Linked DNA regions of Canis lupus familiaris. The protein of the gene in region 7 binds, or shares a complex with, the protein of the main gene of each other region. Links are inferred from orthologs where the notes say so. Each region holds a gene or a part of one and is shown on either strand. Other genes may lie near its edges.

Region 1 (3,967 bases), on a different chromosome or scaffold from region 7:
TCCTCCATCCCTAAGGTCCTTCGGGGCCCTGACATTCTTGGACTTGAAACAGAATAAGGCTCTTCATCCTACTGTACTATACTGGTAAATTTGCTCTTAGGCCAGGGATACATTTTTTTTTTAGGATTGTATTTATTTGACAGAGAAAGAGAGAGAGAGAGCAGAAGCAGGAGGAGCAGCAGAGAGGAAGAAGCAGGCTCTCTGCTGAGCAGGGAGCCAACGCAAGGCTGGATCCCAGGACCCTAGGAACATGACCTGAGCTGAAGGCAGACGCTTAACCAACTGAGCCACCCAGGTGCCTGGGCCAGGGATTCTTAACCCAGGGTCCCATAGTATGCATGCAAGTATATGTCATTTACAGGAAGAAGTCCACACTTTCACATAATTTCTCAAGGAATACATTCTTAAGAATGAAGGTTAAGAGCTGTGTTAGCTAGTATTATGATTGGTATACTTTAAAAATGATGGGCCCCAAAATCAAGGATTGTCATTTTATCACTGAACATAGTTGGGCTGCTCAAGATATGTTATTAGATACTAATAAACAGTTTACATTTCCCTACCCTTGCTCCTGAAGGTCTTCAATAGACCCCCCCCCCCACTTCCTATTATTCCTCTCTAATACCAACATTGACTTTTGTAACATACCAGGTATATAATGGTCGCTATTAAAAACGGGGTCTACTTTCAAATATTATTTTTCTAAACCCTGTCCAAAAGGATAACTAAAAGGGAAACTGTTCCATGTGTATACATGCTCACAAACATTACCTTTGGCTAAAGATAAATGTTAGAAAAACACAGGTCTTCATTAAGCAGAGTCGAAAATAATACAGTAACAAAGTACAAAGCAGCAAAAGGTAAAGACCACATGGATCTATCTCAAAATATTGTTGTACAGGAGTGAGAAAACATGATATCTGAGTACATTAAAAAAACAAAAACAGTATTAAAGGGTATCATACACCACCAGTCAAAAAGTACTTGTTTAAACAGACATTCTTTTAACATGCACATTGTAGTGTTAAGTCCTTAATTTCATACAGCCAGTTATTTTGCAAAGGACTACCAGCTCCTTTAAAAAAAAAAAAAAAGTCATCTCATACTGAGAATACTAGCTCTATACCTTTGTTTTCAGGCTGTGAGGAAGGGATGCTGGTCCAAAAAGCCATTGGATTAGATTTAAAAAGGCTAAAATTAAATCCTAGAAAATAAAGAGTATTTTGTTTTTGAACATTTTGAGAATCAAAGTGAATGTGATTTTAAAATACAAAAAGCCAGAGACCCTCAATTTATACCAATTTGGCTGTCTCACATATTCATTTATCCTGGTAGTTTCATTCTTTGATCATTTAATAAATAGTGGTAAGACTACCTTATATATATTATATGTACATCTCAGTACCACGTTTTTTGAGTGACAAGAGAATACTACATTGAAGAATGAACACTTAAAAAAAATGAGACTTGAGTTAATGTTTGTGATTTAAGTACGAGTCACTAAACTTTGGTACTATATTAGGTTCTTGCTCTCTGCACTAAACATGATATAAATATCTTCCAGTTACTCAGATCTCCTAAATGACCTACACACACCCACTCTTTGTTGCTATTTAAACAGTCACAGGGAAACACATTTAGGGAGAAAAAAAAAATCTATACCAGTATTTTCACTGTTCATGAAGCACTGTGTTTATGACCCAACTTTTACTAAAACATTAGTACTCTACAAAGAGTATATGCGTTAAGCAAAATAGTTACAAATCAATGGAAGAAAAATTTGCTCACATTAAAGACTAAGTGCTTACCCTTTTCTGGTGTTTTAAATGTGTAATTAGTTGAGGACTCCTCCTTTGGAAAAGCAAAGAGATTTCTGACTTTGCCGTCTGAAGACTGTTTGCTATCTGAATTCTTCGACTCTTCACCATTAGGTTCCACTCTTCTTTCAGACCCACTCTTGACCACTGAACTGACTTCACTGCTGTTATTTTTCAAAGGTGCATTAAAACTAAATCCAAACAAAGACCCAGTGGCTGAACTGTGACCAAACGCAAATGGTTTTGATTTTTCACTACTGAAAATACTTTTAACAGACTCTGAACCAAATACAAACTTCGGAGGAGAAACCACTGCTTTTGTTGTTGCTTCAGATGTGCTAGATACTTCTCCAACTTCTGAAGTTGCGTCTGCTGTGTTATCATCCTGAGTTAAATCTGTCCGCTCTCTTGTGGTTTCTTCTAATACAGCTACAGCAATTTTGCCACATGGAGACTCTCTGGGAGTGGTTGAACGAGAAACATGAGGTGTTATCAAAGAATCTTTTTCTTGTGCTATTTTTGCTTCATCAAATATTTTCTTAAATGAGTCTGCAACATCCTGTAGTTTAAAGCGGACAGCTAAATGTTCTACTTTTCTTTCCCCATCTGCAAAATCACAGGCAGTCCACACCCACACTCGTTCTGTCCCTTTCATATTTTGCAAAGTCATGTCTGGAGTTATTCTGTGATTGGCACAAAGTTTTAACACCTGGTCCCTTCTCATCACGATGCGAACTTGCTTGTTATCATAATTCTGTAAAATCTTTATATCACCAATGCCTCTTTCTTTCCACTGACCAACATCTTTATCATACCTATAGAGTTTTGCTCTGTGACTAAAAACAACTTGTTCATTTTCCTCACCACTGGACACTTCCACTAGATCAGGCAAAGGTACAACAGGTTCAAAATACTGTCCATCTCTCTCTTCTTCTTGAGTAACATCAGATTCTTCATCAGTGCCAACTGAGGTACCACTCTGATTTAACTTGGCAGGAGACTTAGATGGACTCAAAGCAGATTTAAAACTAAAGTTAAATCCTGTTGTTGACTCACCAAAGCGGAAGAGATTTTTCCTCACGGGGCTACTTGCCAATGGAGAAGCATGCACTGAGCTACTACTCACACTATCATCCAAAGCATCTTCCCTTAAATCATAGTTGTCCCACTCCAGTGTGGGCCCTGTGTTTTCGGGATTTGGCTTGCTGATTGTATCGGAGGCATTGGCAGAACCTGCATCAGAGCTCTCACTCTCTCCATCAGTGACTTTTGTTTGATCATTTGTCAAAAACGTTTTGAAATCTTTTAATCCACTCTTCATTTCTTCTGCTCTCTGGATTAACTTGGCAGCTCTGCCAGTATCTACAAGTTTATGAGGAGTCTGAAGTGGTATATCTAATAGAAGTCTCTGGCATTCCTCAAATTTCTGTTTGAATTCTTCAGCCAGCTCTGGTGTTTTAAATTTTGCTGCCAACTGCTCTAGTTTGGCATCACCATCAGAAAAATCACTCGCTAACCACATCCATGCTCTGTCAGAGCCAGAGAGAGGCTTCAGGTTCATGGTAGTTGTTATCCAATGATTAGCACACACTTTTAGTACCTGTTCTCTTCGCATTAGCATTCGCAGTTTGCCATTTACTTCATTCTTGAGAATTTTTAAGTTTCCCAGGCCCCTTTCTTTCCACTGACTTATCTCAGCATCAAATCTAAATAATTTTACCCGCTGTGAATAAAGAACTTTTTCATCTTCTTCTCCTGTTACAAGTTCCACTTTTTCAGGCATCTGAACTACTGGTTCAAAATGGATGTCATCACTGTCCTCAGTCCGATAGGCATCATCATCTTTCTCAAGGTCAGCAGAAGTGTCAGCTTTATCAGCCATTTTACCACTTTGTGATGAGAATAATTTTTCTCCCGCACCTGAAAATCCTTTGAAATTAGGGTCTTTTTTGCCAAACTGAAATCCTTCTCCTGAAGTTGATTTTGCAAGATCTGCAAAGGTAAAAGTGCTACCAGTTTGACCAAAAATCACACCACTATCATTCTTCTGACCACTGATATCCTGAGCCTGAACACCAGTGTCATTTTCAAGGGGCTTTTCACTTTTCTTCTCTTGATTTCCAGGCTCCTGAATGCCAAATTTAAATCCA
Region 2 (4,164 bases), on a different chromosome or scaffold from region 7:
TGCTCTGGCCGGACTGGAGAACGGCTGGGCAGTGGGTGCCAAGAGATAAGCCAAAACAGGAAAATTATTGAGGAAGGACAAATGGCTAGGGAGGTGTCAGGACTTAAAACAGTGGAGCACACGGCCTTTTAAAGAGATCCTGACCCACTTCCTCTCTCCTGCTTACTCTAAGAAGGTCAGGACTGAGGTCAGCTTGGAATTTACTTCTCCCAGGTGGGTTGCTATTGCTAGCTAAGACTGTCTCAGTGGGGAAGCAGGATCAGTCGCAGCTCAGGAAGAGCACAAAAAGAAAGCTGTTCTATTTTCGCCCTCTCCTTTCACTGTTGAGGGATAAAAACCCAAGTTCTTTCTAGAGGCATCTGCTTGCTTATGACCATCGCTGAAAACGTATGGATGGCATTCAAAACCCAAAGGATGTTTTTGGCACCTGGACAAATGCCCTATTAGCTGACCTGTGAGGAGCAATAAAAATCTTTTTGTACTCCTAAAATCAAACCCACTCACAAGGTCATTCCTGCCAGGATGGGACATAGTGTTAATAGAACCAGGAGGCAATTTATAAGCCCCAGAGTCCCCAGTGTTGGCAACAAGTTGTATTTGGAACCTGTGAAGAGGCTGCAGAAAGCTCAGAGGAGAGAGAAGCCTACTCCTATCTGGCAAGGTTCAAGAACGGCCTGATCTGCAGGGTGAAAAGTTCACCTTCTTTTTCCTTACAAAGTCCGCAGCATTTGTAAGATCTTAGCCATGAAAGCTGTCCGCAACAATCGCCTGGGCTCTGCCCTATCTTGGAGCATCCGAGCCAAAGATGCTGCCTTTGCCACGCTGGTGTCAGACAGGTGGGCTCAACCTCTCTTGGCTTTCTGGGGACTGTCTGGGAAGTCGGGAGGCTGAGGAAGGTGGCCTGGGACCGCTGCTCAGACCTCTGGGCCGGGCCTGGCAGGTTCCTCAAGGATTACTGTGAGCGAGGCTGCTTTTCTGATCTGGATCTCATTGACAACCTGGGGCCAGCCATGATGCTCAGTGATCGACTAACCTTCTTGGGTGAGTCTCTGGGCTCTGTCCCTCGGACCTTCAGCACAGTGATGGGTTGTGCAGATGGGAGGGACTGATTTAGGCTTCTCCAGTGTTTCCTTCCTGTTGAGCCCAAATTCCTTGAACTATGTATGCCAGACTCTACAAAGCATATTTTCTGGAAACATTTCCTAGTAGTGTCAAACTTGAGAAAAAGGTACAAGAGTAATATAAGAAGTAAGGAGCTCCCATGTACGCTTTCTCGAAATTCACCATTTTTATTTTGCCTCATTTATTATTCTCTCAGGTTTTGGGGGAGTAATCTGAAAGTTGGAGTTTCTTCCCCTTTCTTCATAAATACTTGAGCACGTGTTTCCTAAGAGAAGCACATCCTCTTCTAGAACTAGCTATCCGAATGTACCGCTCTCATAAAATCTCTAGTCCATGTTCTGGTTATTATCAGCTCTCCCAGTGACGGCTTTTGTCACGTCCACATTCACAAATTCAGTTTTCCTGTCTCTGTAGTGCTTCTGCATTTCTTAGTGCTTCTGCACTTCTTCACCTTGACTTTTTTTTTAAAGATTTTTATTTATTTATTCATGAAAGAGACAGACAGCCAGAGGGAGAAGCAGGCTCAATGCAGGGAGCCCGATGTGTGGGACTCGATCCCAGGACTCCAGGGTCACGCCCTGGGCCAAAGGCAGGCGCTAAACCGCTGAGCCATCCAGGGATCCCACCTTGACATTTTTGAAGAGTCTGTTCTGCTTTCTTATGCCCTTATTTTGGATTTATGTCAGGTTTCCTCATGATGAGATTGAGACCTATGGGTTCTTCAATCTGTTGCAGTCCACGTCTCTGGTTTGGTTTGGTGGTTACATTCTGGGAGGTTGGCTCTTTGGAGCTCCTTCAAAATGTATGTGTGTGTGTGTGTGTTTATGTGTGTTTTCAATTCTGTTGGTACATGAGTTTCGAGACCGTTCTGGAAGAGTCTCCCTGCTTTGGAGCAGCTGGTCTGGGGTTTCTCATCTTGTTTAGGGCCAGAGGTGACTCAGTGCTCTGTTTTCTCAATAGGAAAGTACCGCGAGTTCCACCGATTTTATGGGGAGAAGCGTCTTGCTGATGCAGCTTCTCTTCTCCTGTCATTGATGACTTCCCAGATAGCCCCACGGTCTTTCTGGGTAATACTATTAATAGATGCCTTGCCCCTTTTGGAAGAGAAAGAGGTACAGTTTGAATTCAGAATGATTTTCTTCTCTGTGTTTTGTAGTCCTTGATTGTGCTTCATTCTGTAGCTGTTGTGGGTGCACATCCACACATCATCTCCCAAGTAGGGCCCTGCACGTATGTGTGCATTCCCCTGTAACGCCCACTCTGAAAATCTGGTATCTACCCAAGAAAAGCTACTTAATTTGAAATGAAGCAGCAGTCTACGGATAGTACTCCGCCTAGGGCCCTGACAGGAAGGGCTGAGAGTGAGCATAAGGGCTCTGTCCTCCCAGAGCTGCATATACAGAGCTCACTCCTCCCAAGGGTTTGCACAAAGGCCATCTCTGAACCCAGGTGCATGCCCAGACCAGTGCAGCCCTTGCCTGGGGAGCAACTAAGCAAAGCAGCCACTCCTCTCTCTCCTAGGTGGTTTTTTCAGCAGAGCAAACATATGAGCTGATGAGATGTCTAGAGGACTTCGCCTCAAGAAGGCCAGTGTGGAGAGAGCCTGGTGTTCAGCGACTCCAGGTTATTTTAGCTTTTGGATTGTTGATTCCATAATGGTGATGAGAAAAGGCTCCTTCCATCTTAGACTTCCCTACTTTCCTCCAGAAACACTGGCTCCTTACAAACTTGTGCTTCTTGAGTTACCTTTTAACCTGTTATTGACACCCCCAACTCTTTAGTAGAAAGTAGGGTGGTTCTAGTGTTCTGTTCTTTTCTTCTGGCGGTCACAGTGGGCCTTTGCATGTGGTTCTGTCAACTTGCTGGAAGCTAGTACTAAATGCTAAATGCCCTTGGTCTGCCTTTGGGTCAGATAGAGCCTTGCAGAGCTTTAAAGAAGGAACACTTCTGCTGTACCTCACGCTGGCTCTGTTTACTTTTAGGAGGACGTGGAGAACACGAAGTTGGAAATGCTGAGACTTGCTCTTGCACGAAATCTTGGCCGGGCCATTATAAAAGAAGGCTCACTGGAAGGATCCTGAGGTCAGCCAAGAGCTGCTTCAATGTGTCATTTTCATATGGCAATGTATATAGATTTCTGAAAAAATAAATTTTTCTTCCCCCAAATAGAAGGCAAATTCTTGGAGTCCAGCCTAGGGAGTTTCCCCTCTACTATGAACCTGAGGTTGGTGGTAATTAAGAAAGTGCTTGTTATGTTTTCCTTGGATGGAACTGGTCTCCCTGTCTTCCAAGAGAAAAAAAAGCCACTCCTAGAAGTCATGACGGTGAGTGCAGTGCCCTCCTTCCCTATTAGCTTAAACAAGAGTGGTCAGTGGTTTACTTACGCTTCTGAAATTTAGCCTTTACAATCAACTGGAACCTTTACCTGGTTTTTACTTTAGAAAAGGAAAAGGTCCAGGAACCTGTACTTTGACCAACAAAAATCTCAGGTGATGCCAGCATATCTACCTGTATACGTCTGGAATTCCTAAGTGGTGCTTTGTCCACAGTAGAGTGAATGGTCATCTGTATTAGGATTCCAGGTAGGGCAAAAATGATTTTATTTGACATGCAGCAAAACAAGGGCAGCAGAGTCAGTATATTGTACACAGCCATTTGTCACAAAGCAGTGACTTCAGTAGTAACACTCAGATAGTTTTAATGTCTAAAGCTTATTATAAAGGTGTATTTTCCATATAGTAATCCCACAAATCTTCCCAGGGCTGCAAGCAGCCAGTCTCTGGAAAGCTCTTAAATTTATAGGTAGTGAAACTGATTCACTTTTGACTTGTCCTAATGAAGCAGTGAAACCTGCTTGCTCAAGATGGAAGGGAAGGAATACAGTAAGGAAACCTGGCAAAGTGCAGGGAGGGATCAGGGAGTGTGGTTTGTGCCACCTTTCCCCAAAGATGGCTCTGTGCCATCCAGCTGAGCTCAGGTGAGCTGTGTGCTCTTTCCTCAGCTGGTGGAGGCAATTTTCCTGTTGCCCCATGAGGCCTAGAC
Region 3 (4,651 bases), on a different chromosome or scaffold from region 7:
AAAAAAAAAAAAAAATGGAGCTACCAAAATGTCGCCTTTCTCATGCTGAGTGTGAGATCTGTACTACCCTAAACTTTAATTTTCCCTCACATCTTTATAAATAATTCTAGGCCCTAAAGTTGACATTTTCCCCCATTAGCACTGCGTTGACATCAGACATCACTTATATTGTTTGCACTAGAGAAAGTATGTACAGAATGTATTACTAACGTGTTCCAATTAAAAGAACACTCTCACAATGTGAAAAAAGAATGAGTCATACACAAATGAAAAAAAAAAAAACCCAGCAGTGGCAAAAATACAGTAAGAACTGTTTAAAACCTATAGTTTGAAATCTTTTTATTACATGAGTGAAAATAAGGCCCTACCATAGTAATATACTTTTATATTTAAAATACTATTCGCTTCACAGTGTGAAAAGGAAAGTCTAAAAAGATGCTAGTATTTAATTTTATTATAGCACTTAACTGTGAACATCTCAAATGGTTTCATATTTCCACAACCAGTTTAGTTAAAATACTTTAGATGGGTTATTTTAGCCAACTATAGAAAATGCAAACAATTTTAACAGAAAAATATACATTTTAAAGTACATTATTACCTTTAGTTCATGATAATCTATTGCTTCATCTTTGTCTGTGTCAAACAGTTCAAAAGCATCTTTAATTTCTTGTTTCTGTTCTTCAGAGAGTTCTCTTCTTTTTTTTCTCTTTGTTTTGTCTACTACAAGCTCATTTCTATGAAATGAGAAGAAAAGTCTATTCAGTCTACTTTAATTCTATTCTCCTACACATCTAGATAATTAAAATTTCAAAATGCGACAAAGAAATTAAACAAGGAAGAATTTTTTTAATTTCTAAAAAGGAATTATTTGAGAGAAAAATGAAATTTTTCTTCCCATGAGTCAAAGCCTTGCTCAATCCATAGTCTAAGCTGCTATAAATCTGCACTTTCCAAAACTGAAAAGTGTTACATGTTATTATAAGAAAAAAAGGACCTAACTTTCTTTCCTTCTGGCTTTGTATTTATTCTGATATTAATGTGGAAGAAATAACTGTGAATAAAAAAATTATTCATCACAGAAATCGCAACAAAACTAAAGCACTCCTACTTATTAACATTACTCTACAACATAGTATTAAACTAATCAAAGGAAAATTCATAATTGAGGATCATTGCATATTTGGCTTACTTTTGAGAGCATTTATAAGTTATCAAAATTACTACCAAAAAAAGCGTATCACTTAACAATTAACTTACAAAGTTTGTGGCATTGTGGGTTCAAAGTGATTTACAGTACACATTGCTAAGTTTGGGGCTTTATTTATAATTTCTTCCATTGATATTAACAAATCAACCGAAATACTGAAGTCTAAATATACCATGAAAATTAAAAGCCAAAACAAGAATGTTTGTGCTAATTTTCTATATTTTTTAAATTTCTTAAAAGGAATTATTTGAGAGAAAAATGAAATTTTTCTTCCATGAGTCAAAGCCTTGCTCACCCCATAGTGAAGAGTCCATGGTTTTCTAAATTTCACTTGTAAATTTAGATATAGCTTCTCCTAAATCCTGGAAATTTCTTGAAAGTAGATTTTATTTAAAAAGGCAGAAATGGGGATCCCTGGGTGGCCCAGCGGTTGAGCACCTGCCTTCAGTCCAGGGCGTGACCCTGGGGTCCCGGGATCGAGTCCCTGCACCGGGCTCCCTGCATTGGAGCTTGCTTCTCCATCTGCCTGTGTCTCTGCCTCTCTAACTCTCAAGAATAAATAAATGTTAAAAAAAAAAGGAAAAAAAAAAAAAAAAGCCAGGTATGTCTTAAGAGATACTCATCTTAGTGTTCCAAAATTTCGAATGGTGCCGCAACATCCGTACAAGAAGTTTGAAACCAATTTCCTAACACTTTGAAATGTAAAGCCTAGTTGATTTTATTTAATAAAAACACCTTACCTATTTGCCTGTGTTTTGCTTTCTAAAAACCTACCACAAAACCGTCAAGAGACAGACGATCAGAAGATGACCAGGAGACCTATAGTAATAAACAGAGCGGGGGGACAACCTTTCACAAGACACCTGACTTCGCGCGAACAGGGACCCCAGTCCCCGCGGTCACCTTCTCTGGACGGCCAGGTCAACAGCAGGACCCGCCACGGGGTCGAGGCAGGGCTGCCACCATCATCTCCCAACCCAAAGCCGCACCTGTTCAGAAAGGCGTAACCACCTTTTTTTTTTTTTTTTTTTTTTTTTTTTTTAAGGTGCAACGTGTAAAAACATCTAGGTGCTGCTGCTGCTGGGGGCAACGAACGGGGTTAGAGATTGGAAGTCAATGAAAGGTAAACAAAACTAAAAAAAAATTTTTTTTTGAGAAATCAATTAAAGTCATTTATATGGGTCGCCCGTTATATCTTAAAGCAGGGCCCCAGGATAAGAGCAAGGAAGAGTTTAAAGCTCTTTCCAAAATTTATAGCTCGGTCTGACGGCTGCAGGGGCTGCAGGGGCTGCAGGGGCTGCAGGGGCTGCAGGGGCTGCAGGGGCTGCAGGGGCTGCAGGGGCTGCAGGGGCTGCAGGGGCTGCAGGGGCCGGAGACCCGGAGGGCGGAGCTGAACCCAGGGAGGCTCCCCGGCCTGACTTCGCGGAGAAACACCGCGAGAAGAAGCATCGCGATATTTCACTCCCTCCTCCCAACTAGAAACCCATCTCCTCGGTGGTGCAAAGCCCGACGCGCTGATACAGACGCTAACTACCTCGGCACAAATGCACGGGACTCCTCACCTGCGGAGCACCAGGGCCCCCAGGGTGAGGAATCCGAGCCAGGAAGGCTGGCCGAGGCTCCTCGCCCTCATCCCAAAATGCATCCCCTTCCAGCTCGCCTCGGCCCAGCTACCTCCCTTCTACACACGCCAGCCCTGGGGCCCGCTGCGAGGTGTGGAGGGCATTGCGGCCTCCTCATTACCGACCTCAGAGCTAAACTCATTTTCTCTTCGGACAGAGACGTTCCCCTCGAGAACGACTTTAACGCCCTGCCCAAGGCAGCACGACTTCCACAAGCCGTTCAACAGACACCAACGACCTCAGCGGCCTCAAGGACCTCCCACAAGGTAGACGCTTCGGAGTCGGATTGGTTGACGTTGCTAACAGCCCGCCCATTGAGGCGGAAGCGTCCCTGGTCCTCTGCTCTCATTGGGCGTGCTTCGCGTCAATCAAAGAAGCCGCTCGTCCCTCTTCTTCTGCCCCTCCTCCCCGCCCTTTATTGGCTTGTTGAGGTTTCCCGGAATCCTTTGCGGAGCGAGGGTCCAGGTGTCTGCGTGGTAGTTTGGGCGGTAGGTGGCTGCACCTTGCCTCCCGCTGGGTGACCGCCGACGAGATGGACGGCTCCGGGGGAGAAGGGAGGGAGGGAGGAGAGGCGCGCCGCGGGGCCAGCCTCCTTAGCCGAAGGGAGGGAGCGGCTGGGGAATGAGGCCTGCCGAATTTGACTGCGCTGTGTTCTAAAACCTTGGGTGGCCTGAGTCCATGGGGAGTTTGTTTAAAACGCAGATTTAAACGTCCCGTCCTCCCAATTCTGATTTTAGTAGGTATGAATTTGCATTTTTTTCCCCCTTACAATCCCACGTGCTTTTAAGGCAGGTGCTGTCGCTTATAGATTGTATATCTAATGGGTTGGATTATTAGGCTACTTACGGTAAAGCGGCACTTGACGGTACCTTAGCTCCCTTCTCCCTCCCTGAAGGGATCTGTTCTCTTGCATCCTTTGTTTTACAGGGTTGGAAGCTGCTTATACACGTTATATTATCTTAAGCTCCAAACTAAGTTCTTGAAGCTCACCTGGGTAATTTGTTTACTTGTTCATCACTCCTACTAGGCTTTCTTCAAGTGCAGGATGGTATCTTTCATTTAACGCGGATCCCAGTGCCTGATACGGTGCCTGATGCACAGGCGCTCAATGAATATTTGTTGCGTTGGGTGGGATCTTGCTGTGAAAACCCACAAATCACTGAACTAAGTTGTAACCCTTATAAAGGAGTGAAATAGCCTGAATATGGCGTTGAGGCAGGGTAAGGGGGAAGATGTATAAACACTATGGGCTATGTATAAAGGATATATATATATATATATATATATCCTCAACATATATATGTTTATATATGTTTTTATATATGTTTATATATAAATATGTTTATACGTATAAACATGTTTATATATTTAATACACATGTTTATGTTGGGATCCCTGGGTGGCGCAGCGGTTTGGCGCCTGCCTTTGGCCCAGGGCACGATCCTGGAGACCCGGGATCGAATCCCATGTCGGGCTCCCGGTGCATGGAGCCTGCTTCTCCCTCTGCCTATGTCTCTGCCTCTCTCTGTGTGTGACTATCATAAATAAATAAATATATATATATATGTTTATGTATATATTTATATATGTGTTTAGGTATATATTTTTATTATATAAACATATATATATATATATGTTTAAAGAAGGGAGAGAACCAGTAGGACAGAAGAAAGTCTTCTTGAAGGATTTGGCCTATATGTTAGGCTTAGAAGGATGAACTAAATTTGGACAGGTAAAACTAGTATGATGGTGTAACTCTAAAAATTAAAGGTTAAAGGAAACCCCCCCCCAAAAAAAAAAAAAAACAAAATTAGAACAC
Region 4 (4,495 bases), on a different chromosome or scaffold from region 7:
AATAGCAGGTGCTGGCAAGGATGTGGAGAAAGGGGAACCGTCTCCCGGTGTTGGTGCGAATGCAACCTGTGCAGCCACTGCGTAAAACAGTATGGAGGTTCGTCAAAAAATTGAAAATAGAACTACTCTCATGATCTAGTAATTGCACTACTGTTACTCAAAGAACACAAATACAAATTCAAAGGGATACATGCACACTGATGTTTGTAGCAGCATTGTTCATGATAGCTAAGATATGCAAGCAGCCCAAGTGTCCATCAACAGATGAGTGGATAAAGGAGATGTGGGGTGTGTGTGTATGTGTGTGCGTGTGTGGGGAATACCATCCAGCCATAAAAAATGAAACCTTGCCATTTGCATTGACATGGATGGGGCTAGAGAATATTATGGCAAGTGAAATGTCAGAGAAAGACAAATACCATATGATTTCATTCATATGTAGAATTTAAGAAACAAAATAAATGAACATGGGGGGGGGGGTGAAGAGAGGCCAACCAAGAAACAGACTCTTAACTACAGAGAACACACTGATGGTGACCAGAGGGGAGGTGGGGGGGGGAATACGTTACATTGGTGATGGGAAATAAAGACTGCACTTATCATGATTAAAGAAAACAAAAGAAATTTAACAGAGTTTTATAAAAGAACAGTCTCCAGGCACCCCTCACACTTTCAAAACTCTTGTGTGACTTTGCTCAGTGTCTCCGCCCGAGTGGGTGTCAAAAAGTACATTTTGATGACCTCTCCCCTCATGCTCAGTCATATCTGTTTCACTCCCTCAAAACTCCCCCTCAAAGGGAGAGCCTCAGCGGGATTCGGTTTCTAAGTCGCAGCTGTCCACACCTCCTCGACACTCCCATTCCCTTCTCTGGCTCTGCTGTCCCTTGAGCACAGTCTCTGCTCTGACCCTCAAGGTCACGGTCTTCTCTGGCCCCTCTTTCCAAATTCAGTCTTAAGCCAGACCAGAAAGCCCCCAACCGGAAGGCCCCACCCAGCCCCCTACCCTCCCACCCAGTAGCGGATAGAAGGCAGCCTCCGAGGGTGAGGTCGTGACCCTTACCCGTCCGTAGGCGACCCCCCGGCCAGCCTCCGCGCGCCCTCAGCTTGCACCCAAAGGCCTCGGGCCGCTGGCGGTCACCCTTTTCTCCCCACCAGCATGAGCCGAGGATCGGCCGAGATGCCTCCGCCAAGGGGATTGGCTCAGCTCGGCGCCGGCTCAGCCAATCGGCGCTCACAATGTGATCCTGTCCAATGAGGCCAGGCCTCGGCTGTGAAAGCACAGCCCCCTTGCCCTGGGCCTGGCCTTTGTCCGCTTAGCCCCACCCACCACGGCTCCCCGCCAATGGGGAGCAGCGGCGGCGAGCGGGCTGCCAATGGGGAGCGGAGCCGCGCGCGCGGGGCGGTGGGAAAGGCGCCGAGTCAGTGTGTACGTCGGTTGCCGTAACAACGGTCCGCGGAGTCCATCGGCAATGGTGAGTGGGGGCCGCCCTTTGGTGCCCCGCGGCCAGGGGCTGAGCCCTTCTCAGGCTTCGTGTGGCCCTGCCGTCGCTCCCGCGCCGCTCTCGGCTTTGGAGTGCCCCTACTTCCTCTCGGCTAGTTCCCGGAAGGGTAGGGTAGAGACGTCGGCCGCCACCTGGGCCTGCGGTCCTGCGCCGCCTCCCCTTCGTTCAGTCTGCGCCCACCCATCCCTCGGGCGCGCGTGGCCTTCCCCTGCCAGCCCCCGCGTGACTGCCCCTGGTCAAAGAATACTCGGGTTACCCGCAGGCTCTGACCTCTCAGACCCTGACCTCCTGGTCGCTTCGTGCTACCAAAGTTTACCCACAGACCTGGGAGGAGGTTTATTATGTTTGATTGTTAACGTGCATTCTGAATAAATACAGGGATCTTTCGGGAGACGTTTTGATCTAATTAAAGTAGGCACAGACCTGCCTAGTGGATGGAATTTTATTATACACCTTAGCAAAGTAGTAATATTGGGCCAAATGTAGAAGTAATCACAAAGTTGGAGTACAGAGAGGAGGAATACTGCGAGCCAATGTTGTAAGGGCTTTTCTTGAATTAGGATCGCCAAATTCAAGGACAGCTGATCATCTGTACAGTTATCCACAGTCAGCTCCTTGGCTGGATCTCTTTGGGGATGATTTTCAATAAGAGATGTGCAAAGGAACACGGGATCTCCTTGCTTCTACAAAGAATAGGAAAAAAGAAGGAGGGATAGCGGTGCACGGAAAGATTGTTGTTTCAAGTAAAGCCCTGTTATCTCTCCTATTAAGCAAAGCTGTGGAATTGCTTGGTGTAAATATTTTATGTAAATATTTGTAACTATTTTATGTAAAATATGGATTGCATCACTTAATATCGTACTTCTGTGTTTGTAAAACACCTAAAGGCCTCTAACTTTAAGAAGGCAAGCATGGCATCATCTGCCCAACGAAAAAGGATGAGTCCTAAGCCGGAGCTGACTGAAGAGCAGAAACAGGAAATCCGGGAAGCTTTTGATCTCTTTGATGCTGATGGAACTGGGACCATAGACGTAAAGGAACTTAAGGCAAGCCCTTTACATTCCCACTGTACTGCCTTCCTTTCCTCTACTTCTTTCTCTTCTTTCCTTGTCACTGCTCTACCCCTTTTGCCCTCTTTTCCCTGCAAAAAGTTTTCCTGTTTTTCTCTTCTCCTGTCTTTATTTACCTCAAGTGTTATAAAATAAAATTGAGCACAAATATCAATCTGCATAACGCTATAGTGTTTCCCAGTCATTTTAACATGATTGTGTCAGATGCTGGCCTCATGCTCTCACTGTCATTTTTGTTCCTGCCAGGTTTTGATGTGCATATTGACATGATCCTGTTTTCATTGTAGGTGGCAATGAGGGCACTGGGCTTTGAACCCAAAAAAGAAGAGATCAAAAAAATGATAAGTGAAATCGATAAGGAAGGGACAGGAAAAATGAACTTTAGTGACTTCTTGACTGTGATGACTCAGAAAATGGTAAGTTACTAGGATAATCAGCCTATTTTCCACCCATATTGGTGAACAAATTTGAATCTAGATATAAAAATGTCTTCACTGAAGAAAGGTTAATACCAACTGGAGGGTTCTGCTGAAAAAGGGCAGTACTTATGACTGACAGGATGCTTAGGTTCTATCTGGCTCTCTTCAAGGCCACAGAATCACAGGAAAAGTCAGTTTACCCTTTGAGTAAGAGAACTGCTGTCACTCTTTTGTGATTATTTTTTTCCAACTGATGTGTTAACGTGCTGACCACAAGCAGTAAAACCTGTAAACACCAGCAATATTGCACTGCCTGACAATATGAAATGCCTATACTTTAAAGGTCAAAATTCTTTTCTCTCTCGTTTCTGATTCTGGGCGGCTCTAGCCTGAGGGCGGGTGACTTCTGACAGCTGTGTTTTCCACTACACTGGGAATTTGGCCTTTCAGCACTTTCATTTTTTTTCTTTTTTTCTGATTTTATTTTTTATTTTTTTATTTTTATTTTTTGGAGTTCGATTTGCCAACATATAGTATAACACCCAGTGCTCATCCCGCCAAGTGCCCCTCTCAGTGCCCATCACCCAGTCACCCCAACCCCCCGCCTACCGCCCCTTCCACTACCCCTGTTCATTTCCCAGAATTAGGTGTCTCTCATGTTTTGTCACCCTCACTGATATTTTCACTCATTTTCTCTCCTTTCCCTTTATTCCCTTTTGTTAACTTTTATATTCCCCAAGTGAATGAGACCATATAATGTTTGTCCTTTTCCAATTGACTTACTTCACTCAGCATAATACCCTCCAGTTCCATCCATGTTGAAGCAAATAGTGGGTATTTGTCGTTTCTAACGGCTGAGGAATATTCCATTGTATACATAGACCACATCTTGTCTATCCATCCATCTTTCGATGGATACCGAGGCTCCTTCCACAGTTTGGCTATTGTGGGCATTGCTGCTGTAAACATCGGGGTGCAGGTGTCCCAGCGTTTCACTGCATCCTTTCAGCACTTTCAAGGTTGAAGTCACCCATTCCCTAGTGCCTCACTTGTCCCCATTTTATTTTTTAAAATTTTATTTATTTATTCATGAGACACACACACACACACACACACACACACACACACACACAGAGGCAGAGACACAGAGGGAGAAGCAGGCTCCATGCAGGATCAGGCCCTGGGCTGAAGGCGGCACTAAACCACTGAGCCACCGGGGCTGCCCACGTGTCCCCATTTTAAAGGATCCAGAGGATCAAGAAAGACTATAATATGTCACTTGAACAATCCACCTCACTCCCCTGAGTGTCCTCCCACCCAGGATGTATGTTTATGTTCCCCTTGGGCCATTACTTTTTTGATGGCTTTTGGCTCCTCTTTTGTGTGGCTTGTCTATGCTCAACTGGCCTGTGGAAAAGTAACTCCTTGTGTGTCTCAGGTCACAGGTCTATGCCTACTCTGATGATTCTTTAGCTTAGAAAACATCTAATCATACCTCTATATT
Region 5 (4,459 bases), on a different chromosome or scaffold from region 7:
TCTCATGAATAAATAAATAAATAAATAATCTTAAAAAAGAAATAGAAAAACACATTTACTTTATTGAAAGCTAATGTTTAAGGGGACGGGAAGAAACTAGAGTGAGTAGGGGAAGAAGAGGTATGGAAATAGTATCAGTAAAAACTGATGAATCTTTTGAAAGGTCTGACTGTGAAGAGGAGCAAGAGGATAGTAACTGGAACAAGGCATGAGATCAAGATCCAAAGAAGAGGCTAGTGGAAAGAAAGGGAGCAAGAAGAGATGTGAATATCCGAGAGAGAAAAGGTAGTAGGGAGAAGGGCATAAGAGGTGGGATTTAACTCAGACAAAGGGAAACCGGTGAAAACGAGTATAGATATAGATCCAGGTTTGTAGGTTTGAGGGTGGAAAAAAAAAAAGAGAGTGCATGCCTACAGGCTTCTATTTTCTCTGTGACTAGGAGGCTGAGGGATCAGCTGGAAGACAAGATTTGAGGAATGTGGAAAAGTCTGAGATAGTCACTGCCGTGAACAGGACAGGGGTGACCAGATGGCCACAGAAGGCCTGTGTCAATCAATGGCTGCTTATCAACAAGTCTGTATGTCTGCTCATCTGGGATGACAACAGGTCACAACACCAATAAATCATGCCGCTGAATCTCAAGCATAGGTCTTAGACCCTACAACCTCTATTTTTTCCCTGTCTACGATAAGATATTTGGCTTTTTTTTTTTTGGGGGGGGGGGGGAAGTAGGAAAAAAGAACTAACAGAATTTGCTATCTTAAACATCTTCAAGGGTAGAGTTCAGTAGCCAAGGGCATCACACTGTTGTACTACAAACGTTCAGAATTTTTTATCTTGCACAAAAGAAACTCTGTAACCCATTAAACAACTCCCCATTTCTCCCTTCCCTCTGGCAGCCAACATTCTGTTTCTAGGAATCTGACTACCTTAGGTATCAAACATAAGTGGAACCACACAGTATTTATCCTTTTTTGGTTTTTTGGCCGGCTTACTTCACTTAATACAATGTTCTTAAGGTTTATCTATGTTGTAGCATGTGACAGGATTCCCTTTTTAAGGACAAACATCTCGTAGTCCGTATACACTACATTTTGTTTATACACTCATCCACTTATGGACATTCAGGCTGCTACCCTAGGATGTTTAATTAAATATACATATATTCTCCTGACTCCTGGCTGTGAAAAATGATTCCTTTCCGTGTTGTCGATTACACACTCCTGTCACAAGGCATTATACAATGTATACACTCTTTGCAATTGTTGGTAACTCCTTTTCCTCTTTCCTCCAATGATTTATGTTTAATGACAGTAACTTGGTATGTACTAAAGAATAGTATTTAACCACACGTGTAACATGCAAGCCTTGTTTTTAAGATTATATCTGGGTAGGGAGATTGGGACAGCCGTAGTAAGAGTATAACTTCATGGGCAGCCCGGGTGGCTCAGCGGTTGAGCACCTGCCTTCAGCCCGGGGCCTGATCCTGGAGACCCGGGATCGAGTTCCGCATCGGGCTCCCTGCATGGAGCCTGCTTCTCCCTCTGCCTGTGTCTCTGCCTCTCTCCCTCTCTCTGTTTCTCATGAATAAATAAATAAAAATCTTAAAAAAAAAAAAGAACATAACTTCATGACCCGCATTCATATATATATGAAAATCTGATGTAATAAAATGAATTAGCTTGTGCTTTAAGTAGTTTAAACACCTGAGTCTGGCTTACGACCATTATTACCCTATAACCCTCAGTGATGTTACTTAACTACCCCCAAGTCTTTTTTCACCAGTCTGTAGACTGGGGTACTTAATAGCAGCTTCTCCGTAGGTGTGCAAAGGGGATTAGATGAAATCATGCAAGTGCAACAGTCCAATGCCTGGGGACATATCAGAGGCTCGATAAACATAATCTTTTATCATTTTTTTTTTTTTTTTTAAAGGTAGGACAGAGTCACTGAAATGGCTAGATTTGCAGAATTCAGATTTCGACTTTACAGTAATACCAGTCCTATGGCAAGTAGAACCAAGCACTCGCACCCCTCCCCCAACCCCACCCTCGCCCCAAAAAACCCCAAAACACTGCGGGGGGGGGGCGGGGGACAGGAAATATTACTCTTGAATGACATTCTCTACCAGTATGTCATAGACACGCTGCTAAAACTGAATCCAAAAAGCTAACTGTATGTCACTGAGCTGGAAACTGCGTTTTGTTTTGTTTGGGGGAGGGAGGGGGGATTGTGTTTTTAAGCCCAGCTCCGCCGCGTGCAGGGCTGAAGGCATCCTCGCCCCGCCCATGAGGCGCCGAGAGTCTGGACGCCGCAAACGCACCCACTCCTCCCAAAGCCTCAGGGGCGGCACCGCCCAAGGCTGAGACACCCCCCTCCCGGCAGGATGCACCCCGACTTCCAGGCCCCCTCTCACTACCGTGTCGGATCCGCCTACTCGGAAGTGCGCGTTCTCAGGTCCTCCGGCCTCACTGCGGGGAGATGGGGGGGGGGGCCGCTGGACCAAACCCCCCTGCCTCCCTCCTGAAACCCCACCGTGAGGGCTGGGGCGGCAGCACCGAGGCGCGCCATTCAAACCGGGGAGGGCTGGGACTCTAGGCCCAGAGCTAGGCCAAAGCAAGCACCATACCCACAAGCGAGGGCCTGCATTGCGAGGAACCTCACGGCACCTCGCACTAAAGGACCAACCTTCGTCCTGCCCAGCAAGTTCCCCCTTCTGCCGCGGCCGCCCTTACCCGAATTTACCGCCAACAGCGTCGCCATCTTGGAGGCGCCCTAACGGAGCCCTCCTGCCGCACGGAAGCCCCAGGAAAGGGCGAGGCTGCCCGACGCGATGCCTGAGCAGAAAGGTAACACCCTGTCTCGGAGTGGCACTCTCCACACACTCAGAGGCGGAAGAAGCCTTGAAAGGCGGCTGTAGAAGAAGAAGACGAAGAAAAAAAAAAAAAGCTGCTGTACGTCACAGGCGCCAATTTTCGCCGCGATCGGCTCATTCAAATTAGGCGAGGGCAACCGGTTCGGAGACCGGAGGGCCTCGATGTGACGTCAGTCGTGTAGTGGATTCTGGTCCTTGTAGTTTTTTTCCCCAATGATGAGTGACGACATCAACAGAAAGATGAGACTGATTATTGAAAATTACGCCTATTAAAAAAAAAGAAAATTACGCCTATTTACGATATAAAAGCCGTAAACTCAGGTCATTATCTCCATATCAAGTTACACCTTCCTTGCATTTCTCTCTGAGGAGTGGAGTGAGGTGTAAGGTATACAAATCTCAAAAAGCTATTTAATCAGTTACAAACTAAGTTTTCATTACATTTCAATATGGCAAGTGTATTGCATCAACATTGTTGCATAGGTTGAAACAAATCTAAGTGAAACAAATCATGACTTTTGTTACATTTGTCAAATGTATACAAAAGTAGAATAATGAACACCCAAAGTTCAATTCGCGGCCTTTACTCCACCCCTAACAGGGAAGATTATTTTGAAGACCTTTCCAGACAGATCTCATAAATACCAAATATTTTTCTACCTAAGCACCCTCAAGTAGCTGGATCTTTTTCTTTTTTAACATTATTTATTTGAAAGAGTGAAAGAAAATGAGCAGATGGTGGGAGCAGAGGAGAAGGGGAAGCAGACTCCCCACTGAACAAGGACCAGACCTGGGGCTGGATCTCAGGACCCCAAGATCATGATCCCAGCCAAAGGCATACATACACTTCACTGACTGAGCCACCCTGGGACCCCAAATAACTGGATCTTCTTTTTTTTAGTTACTGAATTTTAGTTTGCAAATTTTCCAACTAAAATATAGTCATTACCATTTATTATTCTATGCCAGATGTTTATTACCAATTTCACATTATAGGATAATGTACTGATTATTATTATATCTCATTTAATCCTCAAAACAACCCTATTAGGAAAATGATGTTAATTATAGCTGATTATCTTAGAGATGTTCCCTCTGCCTTACAATCCCAATTTATCAACTCCTCCAACATTCCACTGAGGTTGGGAGGAGGTAAGGGTTTATATATTTTCTACTTCAGAGTTGGAAATCAGAATTACATAATTTAGGCACAATCAGAGCAGGCATGTTCATTCTTTTGAACAAATTGTACTGAGGGATACAATGTACATTAGGTGGGAGACAAAGGTCACTGACAATTCTTTTTTGAAAGTCATTGTTACATAGATACAAATGCCAGACTACCATCAAAGTTGTTTTAAGGAGTGGAGGGGAAGAGAAAATGAAAAGGCGAAGCGATATTTCCTGAAGTTTAGCACGAAAGAGAGAAAAGTACTGAGCAGAAATTTGGCAGACAGTGGCATTTAAAGATTTTCTTTCTCAGGACGACTATTACAAGCCCCCTTCCCCCCCACCTCCGTAGGCCCACACACTTCCCTCTCAGAACACTGCTTTACTTTCTATGAAGGAACACTTCAACCTCCT
Region 6 (3,967 bases), on a different chromosome or scaffold from region 7:
GATACAGCAGTATACTCTCAGGGTAGTTTTTCCTTAGACTTAGCTGTCATGGAGTCTTTCCAATGACTGACTTAATATCATGAATATTTTTACTCTCTGGTTTCCTCAAATAGGAGATTCTTTTGGGGTAGTTCATCTTTCTTCTGGTTGGCAGAGGATGTCTGAAGCGCTGGTCTGAACAGGACCTGGGAAAACCAGATGAGACTGTGTACTCTAACTGAAGAGCCCTAGACAAGGAGTTAGAAGGCAAGAGTTCCCTTCCCAGCCGTGTCACTGATCTAGGTGGGTGAGCTCAGGCAAGTGTCAATTCTTCCACCAGGGCTTAAGTATATTGTTCAGGTACCTTTCCACATAGTTACTAGATGAAAGATTTTTTCAGAGGTTCTCAATTATGTTCAAATAGTTGGATTAAACTTGTGCATGAGGGATTCTCAGGTTCAGACTGCAGAAAAAGGATGCACCCCAGTGTGTGGAACACCCTTCTCTGTGAGACTCCTCAGGCCTTTCCCCTTGCCCACTCTCCACAACCATCATCACATTTCCCATAATTCCCACAGGCCAAACAGCCTCCTGATAGGGCAGCAGGTAGATCTCAGGACTCTTTCAGCTCTGTGTCCTTGTAGCTGAACTTAGTGGGAGCTTAACAAATATTTGTTGAGGGAAGGAAGGAAAAATTTTCCTTCCTGATAAATTATGAACCATTTTCAAATAAATCATCACCATGTGAACGAATAAGCAGTTATTCATAACCTTGCCCAACAAGAATTCATCAATCCCTGTTTCTCCTCCCACAGCCTAACTGAAGAAATGCCTTTTCCCTAAGATAATTATCAGAAAGCGAAATTATTTTCAAATTGTCTTATTGATAACTTGTGGAAGTAAAGGCAGCTGCTAAAATTGGACACACAACAGTGGATTGTGTTTTACTTAAAAAAGTAACATTTAAAGATTTTTGTTTAATTACACTGAAAATGGGGAAAAAACACAACTTCTCAAACATCAGTATCTGCCCTCATAGCAAGTAAGATGGCGTCAGAGGCAGCAGGATATAAAATGTTGGCAGGGCAGCGAACTAGGAGGCACTTCAGAGTCTGGTTCTGGCTCATGACCTTAGATGAGTCTCCTCGAGGCTTGACAGTTTGGGACCTAACAGCCTCTAAGCACCTTCCAAATCTAAAGGTATGAACCTTGCTATGACCTTAAGCTAAAGATGTGTGTTTTTCCCCATGAAACTGGCACTCTGCTGACTAAGACTGGAGAACTTGCTGAGGAGCAGAACTGCAGTGATGGTGACAAGGCCCAGGAAATGCCTGAGGCCGCCAGTGCTCTGAGGTGCCCTTCTTGAATTTGGAGTCTCTCTTTTGTTTCCCCTCCTTTCTTTTAATTTGAAATACAGGATTTTTGCAAATGTTTCAAATAATGCAGAGGAGAACAAAGGGAGTCTTCTGTAAATTCTTACCTGAAGCTTGACAAAAGCTAAACCCAGAGGATGACGCCACCGTTGTGGTGGTGGCAGAGGTGCCACCAAACACAGAGCCTCCCTGCCCGAAGCCAGGACTCTGCCCAAACGCGGGAGGGTTGCTCTGGCCAAATAGCACCCCTCCTGTGTTGGCAGAAGACTGTCCAAACGAGAAGGAGCTGGAGCTACTGGTACTTGAGGAGGCACCAAAGACATTCCCACTGGCAGACGTGGAGGTGGAAGATGCGGACTGGCCAAAAGCAGGCCCAGAGCTGAACCCAGGCTGATTGAAGGAAAAGCCACTTGCAGGGCTGCTGGTGGACTGCCCAAAGGCCGGAGCCTGTCCAAACGTCGTCTGTCCAAAGACCCCGGTGGCTGAGGTGCCGAAGGCAGGGCTGCCAAAGCCTGAGCTGCTGACCGGAGGTGTGGCGGCTGCCGTGCTGGCTACACTGCCAGTCTGTGGCCCAAACAGGCTTGGTGCGGTGCTGACGGCCGCCTGCCCAAACACAGGGGTGGTCGAGGGGGCAGTGGCCGTGTTGCTGGGGAGCTGACTGAAAGCTGAGCTAGAACTGGCAGCGGGGGGCTGAGTGAAGACAGATGAGCCCGCGGTGGCAGTCCCAAACACTGGTGTCTCTGTGACTGGGCTTGGAGCAACACTGGAAACAGAGCTGGAGGTTACAGGGGGACCTGGGGTTTCAATGGCCACAGGGACCACGCTGGGGACTGCAGCAGCCGTGACAGTGCTCTGCCCAGTTGCTGAGAGCGTTGAGGTGGGAGACGCTGATTCCGTCCTGACATCGGGGACTGTGGGGGCAGCTGGAGCGGCCTCGGCACCAGGTGCTATGAGACTGGTATTGGAGCCTGCAGGGCCAGGGCTGCTGGCTGCAGGCTGAGCCACAGCAGCTTCTTTTTTAACAGAGTCGGAAGTCTGCAGAGGAGCCTGGGGAAGTGAGGTTGACGGCTGCGGCCCCAGAAGCGAGCTTGTTGAGGCTGAGACCTCACTGTTGTCTGGCTTCTCAGGAGAAGCTGATGACGTGGATTCCTCTGTGCTTTTCCCAGAGGCCACAGGCAGGGTGGGAGCAGATGCTGAATTCAGGAGGCTACCAAAGGACAATGTGGGGAATGCGGTAGGAAGGGGGGTGGCAGTTGTTGCTGATGGGGGGGTAGGTGGGGGTACCATACTACTCGTCTGTTGGTTGCCAAAGGAAAAACTCGTCTTGCTACCACCTGGGGTCATCCCACCAAAACCCATTATCCCTGAGGATCCTGCACTGGTGAGGGGCAGGCCGCCAAAGATGCCAGTTGAGGAGCTGCTAGTGCTTGTGCCAGCTGCCGCTGGTGCCCCTGCAGTGGTGGTCACAGAGGAGGTCACGGGGGGCTCTGCATGCTTCCCTACCAGGGGAGGGCCAGTAAAACTAAACCCCGAGGGGACGGTTGAAGTCTTGGCCGGCTGCACACCAGTCAGGTTTGTGGATGAAGCCTTAATGGTTGGTTTTGTAGAATCATCTGCTTGGCCGACGCGCAGTCCTGAAAAACTTCCCAGGGTCTCTCCAGCCAAAGAACTTGGAAACAGAAGCTCTCCCAACTTGGATGGTGGAGTTTCCAGCTTGCCAGAGGCAGTAGAGGCAGCAAGTCCAGAAGGTGCTGCAGGTCGGCCACTGGAAGGCGCAGGCTCCGCAGGAGAGGTGGTGGTGGCTCCAGAGCTGTGTGGCGCTGCCATCCCCGAGGGTGGGGAGCTTTCAGTACCTGGCTCATAAAAAGTTTTGCCTCCCCCGCCAAAGGAGAATGCGTCGAGCTGGTGTGACTCTTTAGTGGGGGGTGCTGCCCCTAGCAAGAAAAAGAAATTAGAAAGTGGGTTGGATTTAGCAACACATAATCTGTCATATTCCCACGGACTGTTTCCAAGCCCATGTCTCTCTCCCCTCGATACAGTCGGGATGGCTGTCCTGGGACAGCACTTTTCCTTGGGGAAACATAGTGAAGGCTTTTCCACGAGAGGGCTAGTTCTGAGCAAGCTCACGGAGGTGAGAAGAATAAACATCCTTTTTGTGACCATTACATCATAACTAACATACTGTCCTATCTAGAATGCATGAAATTCACAGGGTTATCACACTGTGATAGAGAAATAAAATGACATCTTCTCTCTTTTTTTCCCTGTGTGTGCCTTCCTCAATAATACTTTTGACACAGTGCTTGTCTACGGACCTCCTGGTAGGCCAGGACTTGATCCAAAATGGAAGTTCCTCATGCGTTTTTTATGGGCAAAGAAAATATCAGTACACAGACAATTATTTTTATGTACAATGAAGGGTCATTCCCTAGTGCTCACTCGGTAATCAGCTTTACATAAAGAGGCAATATGACCCGGGGGTCAAGGTCATAGGCTCTGGAGCCTGGTACTCTGCCACCTGCTGTCTGTACAACTAATAACTCTGAAAAAGTTACTTTACCTCTTGGGGCCTCAATTTCCCCATTTGAAAAATAGACATAGTAAGAGTAGCTACA
Region 7 (3,967 bases):
TTGTTTGCTTATAACAGCCACCCTAGTGGGTGTGAAGTGGTATCTCATGCTTTATGAGATATCTCTTTCTATGAGGTATTTCTTTCCTTTATGACTAATAATGTTGAACATCTTATCATTTGCTTATTGGCCATTTATCTTCTTTGAAGAAATATTTTGTGTCTCTGTGTCTTTTTAAAAATTATTTTATGTCTGTTAATATATTCTCAAAACTGTGGCAATAGAGGTCAAAGATGATACTGACTTTTAAGAGAATTTTTGCTTTTTTATGATAGGTGCTTGATGATAGAATCAAAGCTAAACTTGTGATTTTATGTTTTTTACTTTTAGTTCTCTCTAAACTTGAGGAGTAGAGTTTTTCCAGGTCCCAACACAGAGCAAGTGGCATTCACTAGTGCCCTTAACCTCTTGGTGGCTCTAGGCTCCAGTGTCTGTCTCTCTAGTCCATGAAGACTGTCAAGCATACCATCAACTTCATAACCTTCCTCTTATTTTTTTTTAAAGGTTTTGTGTATTTATTTGAAAAAGAGAAAGTATGAGCGGGGGAAAAGGGCAGATGCAGAAGCAGTCTCCCCACTGAGCAGGGAGTCAGAGGTAGGGCTCAATTCCAGGACCATGGGATCATGACTTGAGCCAAATGCAGACACTTAACCGATGAAGCCACCTAGGCGCCCCTTAACCTTCCTCTTAGAATCAGAAAAGCCCCCAGGAGAAAAGCAACCCTAAATAACAGACATGCCCCTGTGCCAGTGCCCCTTAGTGCTGGCTCAATCTTTTTTTACTATTTTGTTTGCTTTATAGAGAGCTCTGGCTCTCCTAGTTTGAGAGCTCTGGCTCCTCCTAGTCCTAGGAGGATCGGTTTGCATTACCCAGTCCGTCATTGATAGGAAAGCAAGTTTTAATTTTCACAGAAATACTAATTCCTTACTGTCAAGTGCTTATTTCATTGGCTAATTTAATAAATATTACATGATTATAATGAGTATAACTAGCATATGTGTGTTTGTAACAAATGCTACTGATGATTAACCATAACTCAGTTGTTGAGATTAGAAATAAATATACAAGAGTGGTCTACTACTTGTTAATTAACTAATTAATTAATTATTTTAAAAGATGTATCTATTTATTTGAGAGAGAAGGAGCACATGCAGCGGAGAGGGGCAGAGGGAGAGGGAGAGAGAGTCCCAGGCAGACTCCAAGCTGGGTGGAGAGCTTGACACAGGGCTCAATCTCAAGACCTTGATATCAGGACCCAAGCCAAAATCAAAAGTCAGATGCTTAACTGACTTCATCACCCATTGTAGTTTGTTTATGAAAGAAGGATTGGGCACATGAATTAATCCAGGGGGTTTTTAAGTGGAGGTTGAGTAAGATAAGATGATCTCTGTTTCTTCTGTTTGAAGCTTATATACGATAGAGGTTCTTGTCTTAAATAAATCTGCTGTATGCACACCTGAAATTTTAAGGTATTTGCAATTATTTGCATTATTGGCTCTCAGGGTTTTTCGGTCCTGTTTTGGTTTTTTTTTTTTTGTCATCTTTATTATTTTTTTTTAAGATTTTATTTATTTATTCATGAGAGACAGAGAGAGAGAGGCAGAGACACAGGCAGAGGGAGAAGCAGGCTCCATGCAGCGAGCCTGACCTGGGACTAGATCCTGGGTCTCCAGGATCATGCCCTGGGCTGAAGGCAGCGCTAAACCGCTGAGCCACCCGGGCTGCCCCTCTTTTTGTCATCTTTAAAAAGAAATCTTATTTAGTCAGCAAATGTATCCTTCCTATTTTCTTCAAGGCAGCATGTCAGGTTCTGTGAGGAGACAGTCGTGAATCCTTACTGTCAAAAAAGGAAGAAAATGTTTAAAGAGAGAAGACATACACAGAAATAATTGAAATACAAGACATAGTGTGATGGGTTAAATAAGTATTTGGATAAAGTGCTCAGGGTTCAGAGAAGAATGTCCTCAAGGAGATTTCCCACTTTATTTTAAATGTGTTTAGCTTATTCTTTCAAATGCCATAGTATAATATATTTGAGACCTTAGGTTCTGGTTATGTATTAAACATTGTGAATTGACTTGTTAGGTAATTTTTAGATACGTAAGAGCTGAACAAGAATGTTCTTTTTGACTCTAGTTTTTAAGATAATGCTTGTGATGTAATTATGTGTACCTGAAATTTTTTTTTTTCCTCTTTTGGTCTCTATTTATAGGAAGAGCATTAAGAAGTTGGTTTTGAAAAACCTTAACAATAGCAATCTCTTCTCTCCTGTTAATCGTGACTCAGAAGATCTAGCTTCACCATCTGATTATCCGGAAAATGGGGAGAGGTAAACCAAATTTTGTTTCGAGTTGTTTCTGGTAGAGAGCCCTGTTCTCACTTTGAAGGGATTTCGAGCACCTAGAATGGTGCCAATCACTCAGTAAAGATTTAGTGAGGGTTGGCTGTTATCATTGTTATAAAGGACTGAGATACTGTTTCTTTTCTACCTTTTCAGATTCAGCTTCCTGAGCAAACCTGTCGAAGACAACCATCAGCAGGATGGAGATGATGATTCTCTTGTGTCACGTTTTTATACTAACCCTATTGCCAAACCCATTCCTCAAACCCCAGAGAGTGCTGGAAATAAACACAACAGCAGTAGCAGTGTGGATGATACTATTGTTGCATTAAACATGCGTGCTGCTTTGCGAAATGGGCTGGAAGGAAGCAGTGAAGAGACCTCTTTTCATGAGGAGTCACTTCAGGATGACCGAGAAGAAATAGAAAATAATACTTACCATATGCATCCAGCAGGTCAGATTCAGATTGGTACATGGGTAATCTTTTACCAGTCATTTGACACCTCTTATTTGTCACAGATACTCAATTTAGTGGAAGTCAGCTACCAGAGATCTTAAATGATTTTATTATGTTTATAGATGGTAACATTTAAACACTATTCACTTACGCTTTGATTCCTAATTCACATACTTTTTCTGCCTTTGGAGTGGTTAAAATTCATGTCATTAGTTATCCTGGTATAAAGATCCCAAATTTTATAGCCAGAGAGACTATCGTTATACTTTACCTAGCTTTATAAACTCAGATAGATTGCTTATTAGCTTTTTAATTAAAATAATACTGATAATTATCATATAAGGTTTTTGAGGTTTCAATTAGATTAGTATATAAACCATAATGCCTGAAATGTATAGGCATTCAAATGGTATCAGTTGCTCTGGTTAATTATTATTACCTCAGTTCTGTGCTTTGCTTTTTTTCTCCTCAACAGTGAACTGCTTAGTTTTTTTCCCAATGAATCCATGAAACACATAATATAAACTACAAGATTATAGTATGTCGATTGGTCACTTAAAACTTGCATTTTTAAATTTATTCATTCATTCATTCACTCATTCATTCATTCTCAAGTAATCTCTACACCCAGTGTGAGGCCCAAACTTAACCCTGAGATCAAGAGTTACATTTTCCACCACCTGAGCTGGTCAGGCACTTGGCTTGTCTTTTTCTGTGTTGACATATCTTATTTGGGTTTTCATGAATGTAATCACATTCTTTTTTTTTTTTTTTTTTTTAACCAAGATATAATGTATATGTAGTGAAGGACACAGGTCTTAAGTTTATTTCAATGAATTATGAGAGACAGAGAGAGACATAGGCAGAGGGAGAGGCAGGCTCCCTGCAGGGAGACCAATGTGGGACTCGATCCCAAGACCCTAGGATCATGCCCCCAACCAAAGGCAGTCACTCAACCACTGAGCCACCCAGATGTCCTGGTTCATTCTTTCTTATTGCTGAATAATAGTCCATTATAAATGTATGCCATACTTGGTTTATCTAATCTCTGTTAGTGAACATTTGGGTTGTTTTATAGTTACTCTTGAAGTGTCTGAAGTTTTTCTGTAATTATCTTGTTGCCTTCATATATATCTTCTGGCCACTTAGTGCCCTAAGGGAACAAATT

The links.
Region 1: NUP98 (region 7) and RANBP2 share a complex: the UniProt entries of both Homo sapiens proteins name them as parts of the nuclear pore complex. The link is inferred for Canis lupus familiaris from reciprocal best matches to the Homo sapiens genes NUP98 and RANBP2.
Region 2: NUP98 (region 7) and NUP85 share a complex: the UniProt entries of both Homo sapiens proteins name them as parts of the nuclear pore complex. The link is inferred for Canis lupus familiaris from reciprocal best matches to the Homo sapiens genes NUP98 and NUP85.
Region 3: NUP98 (region 7) and CETN3 share a complex: the UniProt entries of both Homo sapiens proteins name them as parts of the nuclear pore complex. The link is inferred for Canis lupus familiaris from reciprocal best matches to the Homo sapiens genes NUP98 and CETN3.
Region 4: NUP98 (region 7) and CETN2 share a complex: the UniProt entries of both Homo sapiens proteins name them as parts of the nuclear pore complex. The link is inferred for Canis lupus familiaris from reciprocal best matches to the Homo sapiens genes NUP98 and CETN2.
Region 5: NUP98 (region 7) and NUP205 share a complex: the UniProt entries of both Homo sapiens proteins name them as parts of the nuclear pore complex. The link is inferred for Canis lupus familiaris from reciprocal best matches to the Homo sapiens genes NUP98 and NUP205.
Region 6: NUP98 (region 7) and NUP214 share a complex: the UniProt entries of both Homo sapiens proteins name them as parts of the nuclear pore complex. The link is inferred for Canis lupus familiaris from reciprocal best matches to the Homo sapiens genes NUP98 and NUP214.

What each region holds. Positions count from the first base shown.
Region 1 is NC_049231.1:36,161,620-36,165,586, forward strand, and holds part of RANBP2 (E3 SUMO-protein ligase RanBP2), read right to left. Parts: coding exon 1,809-3,967; intron 1,205-1,808; coding exon 1,127-1,204; intron 1-1,126. UniProt on the Homo sapiens protein: E3 SUMO-protein ligase which facilitates SUMO1 and SUMO2 conjugation by UBE2I. Involved in transport factor (Ran-GTP, karyopherin)-mediated protein import via the F-G repeat-containing domain which acts as a docking site for substrates.
Region 2 is NC_049230.1:6,129,546-6,133,709, reverse strand, and holds the end of NUP85 (nuclear pore complex protein Nup85), read left to right. Parts: intron 1-718; coding exon 719-836; intron 837-940; coding exon 941-1,041; intron 1,042-2,082; coding exon 2,083-2,234; intron 2,235-2,643; coding exon 2,644-2,745; intron 2,746-3,104; coding exon 3,105-3,203; 3' UTR 3,204-3,288; downstream 3,289-4,164. UniProt on the Homo sapiens protein: Essential component of the nuclear pore complex (NPC) that seems to be required for NPC assembly and maintenance. As part of the NPC Nup107-160 subcomplex plays a role in RNA export and in tethering NUP96/Nup98 and NUP153 to the nucleus.
Region 3 is NC_049224.1:18,661,619-18,666,269, reverse strand, and holds the start of CETN3 (centrin-3), read right to left. Parts: upstream 3,115-4,651; 5' UTR 2,975-3,114; coding exon 2,958-2,974; intron 738-2,957; coding exon 602-737; intron 1-601. UniProt on the Homo sapiens protein: Plays a fundamental role in microtubule-organizing center structure and function. As a component of the TREX-2 complex, involved in the export of mRNAs to the cytoplasm through the nuclear pores.
Region 4 is NC_049260.1:122,023,453-122,027,947, reverse strand, and holds the start of CETN2 (centrin-2), read left to right. Parts: upstream 1-1,333; 5' UTR 1,334-1,373; coding exon 1,374-1,472; intron 1,473-2,389; coding exon 2,390-2,548; intron 2,549-2,859; coding exon 2,860-2,988; intron 2,989-4,495. UniProt on the Homo sapiens protein: Plays a fundamental role in microtubule organizing center structure and function. Required for centriole duplication and correct spindle formation. Has a role in regulating cytokinesis and genome stability via cooperation with CALM1 and CCP110.
Region 5 is NC_049237.1:12,345,956-12,350,414, forward strand, and holds the start of NUP205 (nuclear pore complex protein Nup205), read right to left. Parts: upstream 2,893-4,459; 5' UTR 2,764-2,892; coding exon 2,736-2,763; intron 1-2,735. UniProt on the Homo sapiens protein: Plays a role in the nuclear pore complex (NPC) assembly and/or maintenance. May anchor NUP62 and other nucleoporins, but not NUP153 and TPR, to the NPC.
Region 6 is NC_049230.1:52,962,570-52,966,536, forward strand, and holds part of NUP214 (nuclear pore complex protein Nup214), read right to left. Parts: intron 3,287-3,967; coding exon 1,460-3,286; intron 1-1,459. UniProt on the Homo sapiens protein: Part of the nuclear pore complex. Has a critical role in nucleocytoplasmic transport.
Region 7 is NC_049242.1:26,405,247-26,409,213, reverse strand, and holds part of NUP98 (nuclear pore complex protein Nup98-Nup96), read left to right. Parts: intron 1-2,212; coding exon 2,213-2,329; intron 2,330-2,497; coding exon 2,498-2,796; intron 2,797-3,967. UniProt on the Homo sapiens protein: Plays a role in the nuclear pore complex (NPC) assembly and/or maintenance. NUP98 and NUP96 are involved in the bidirectional transport across the NPC. May anchor NUP153 and TPR to the NPC.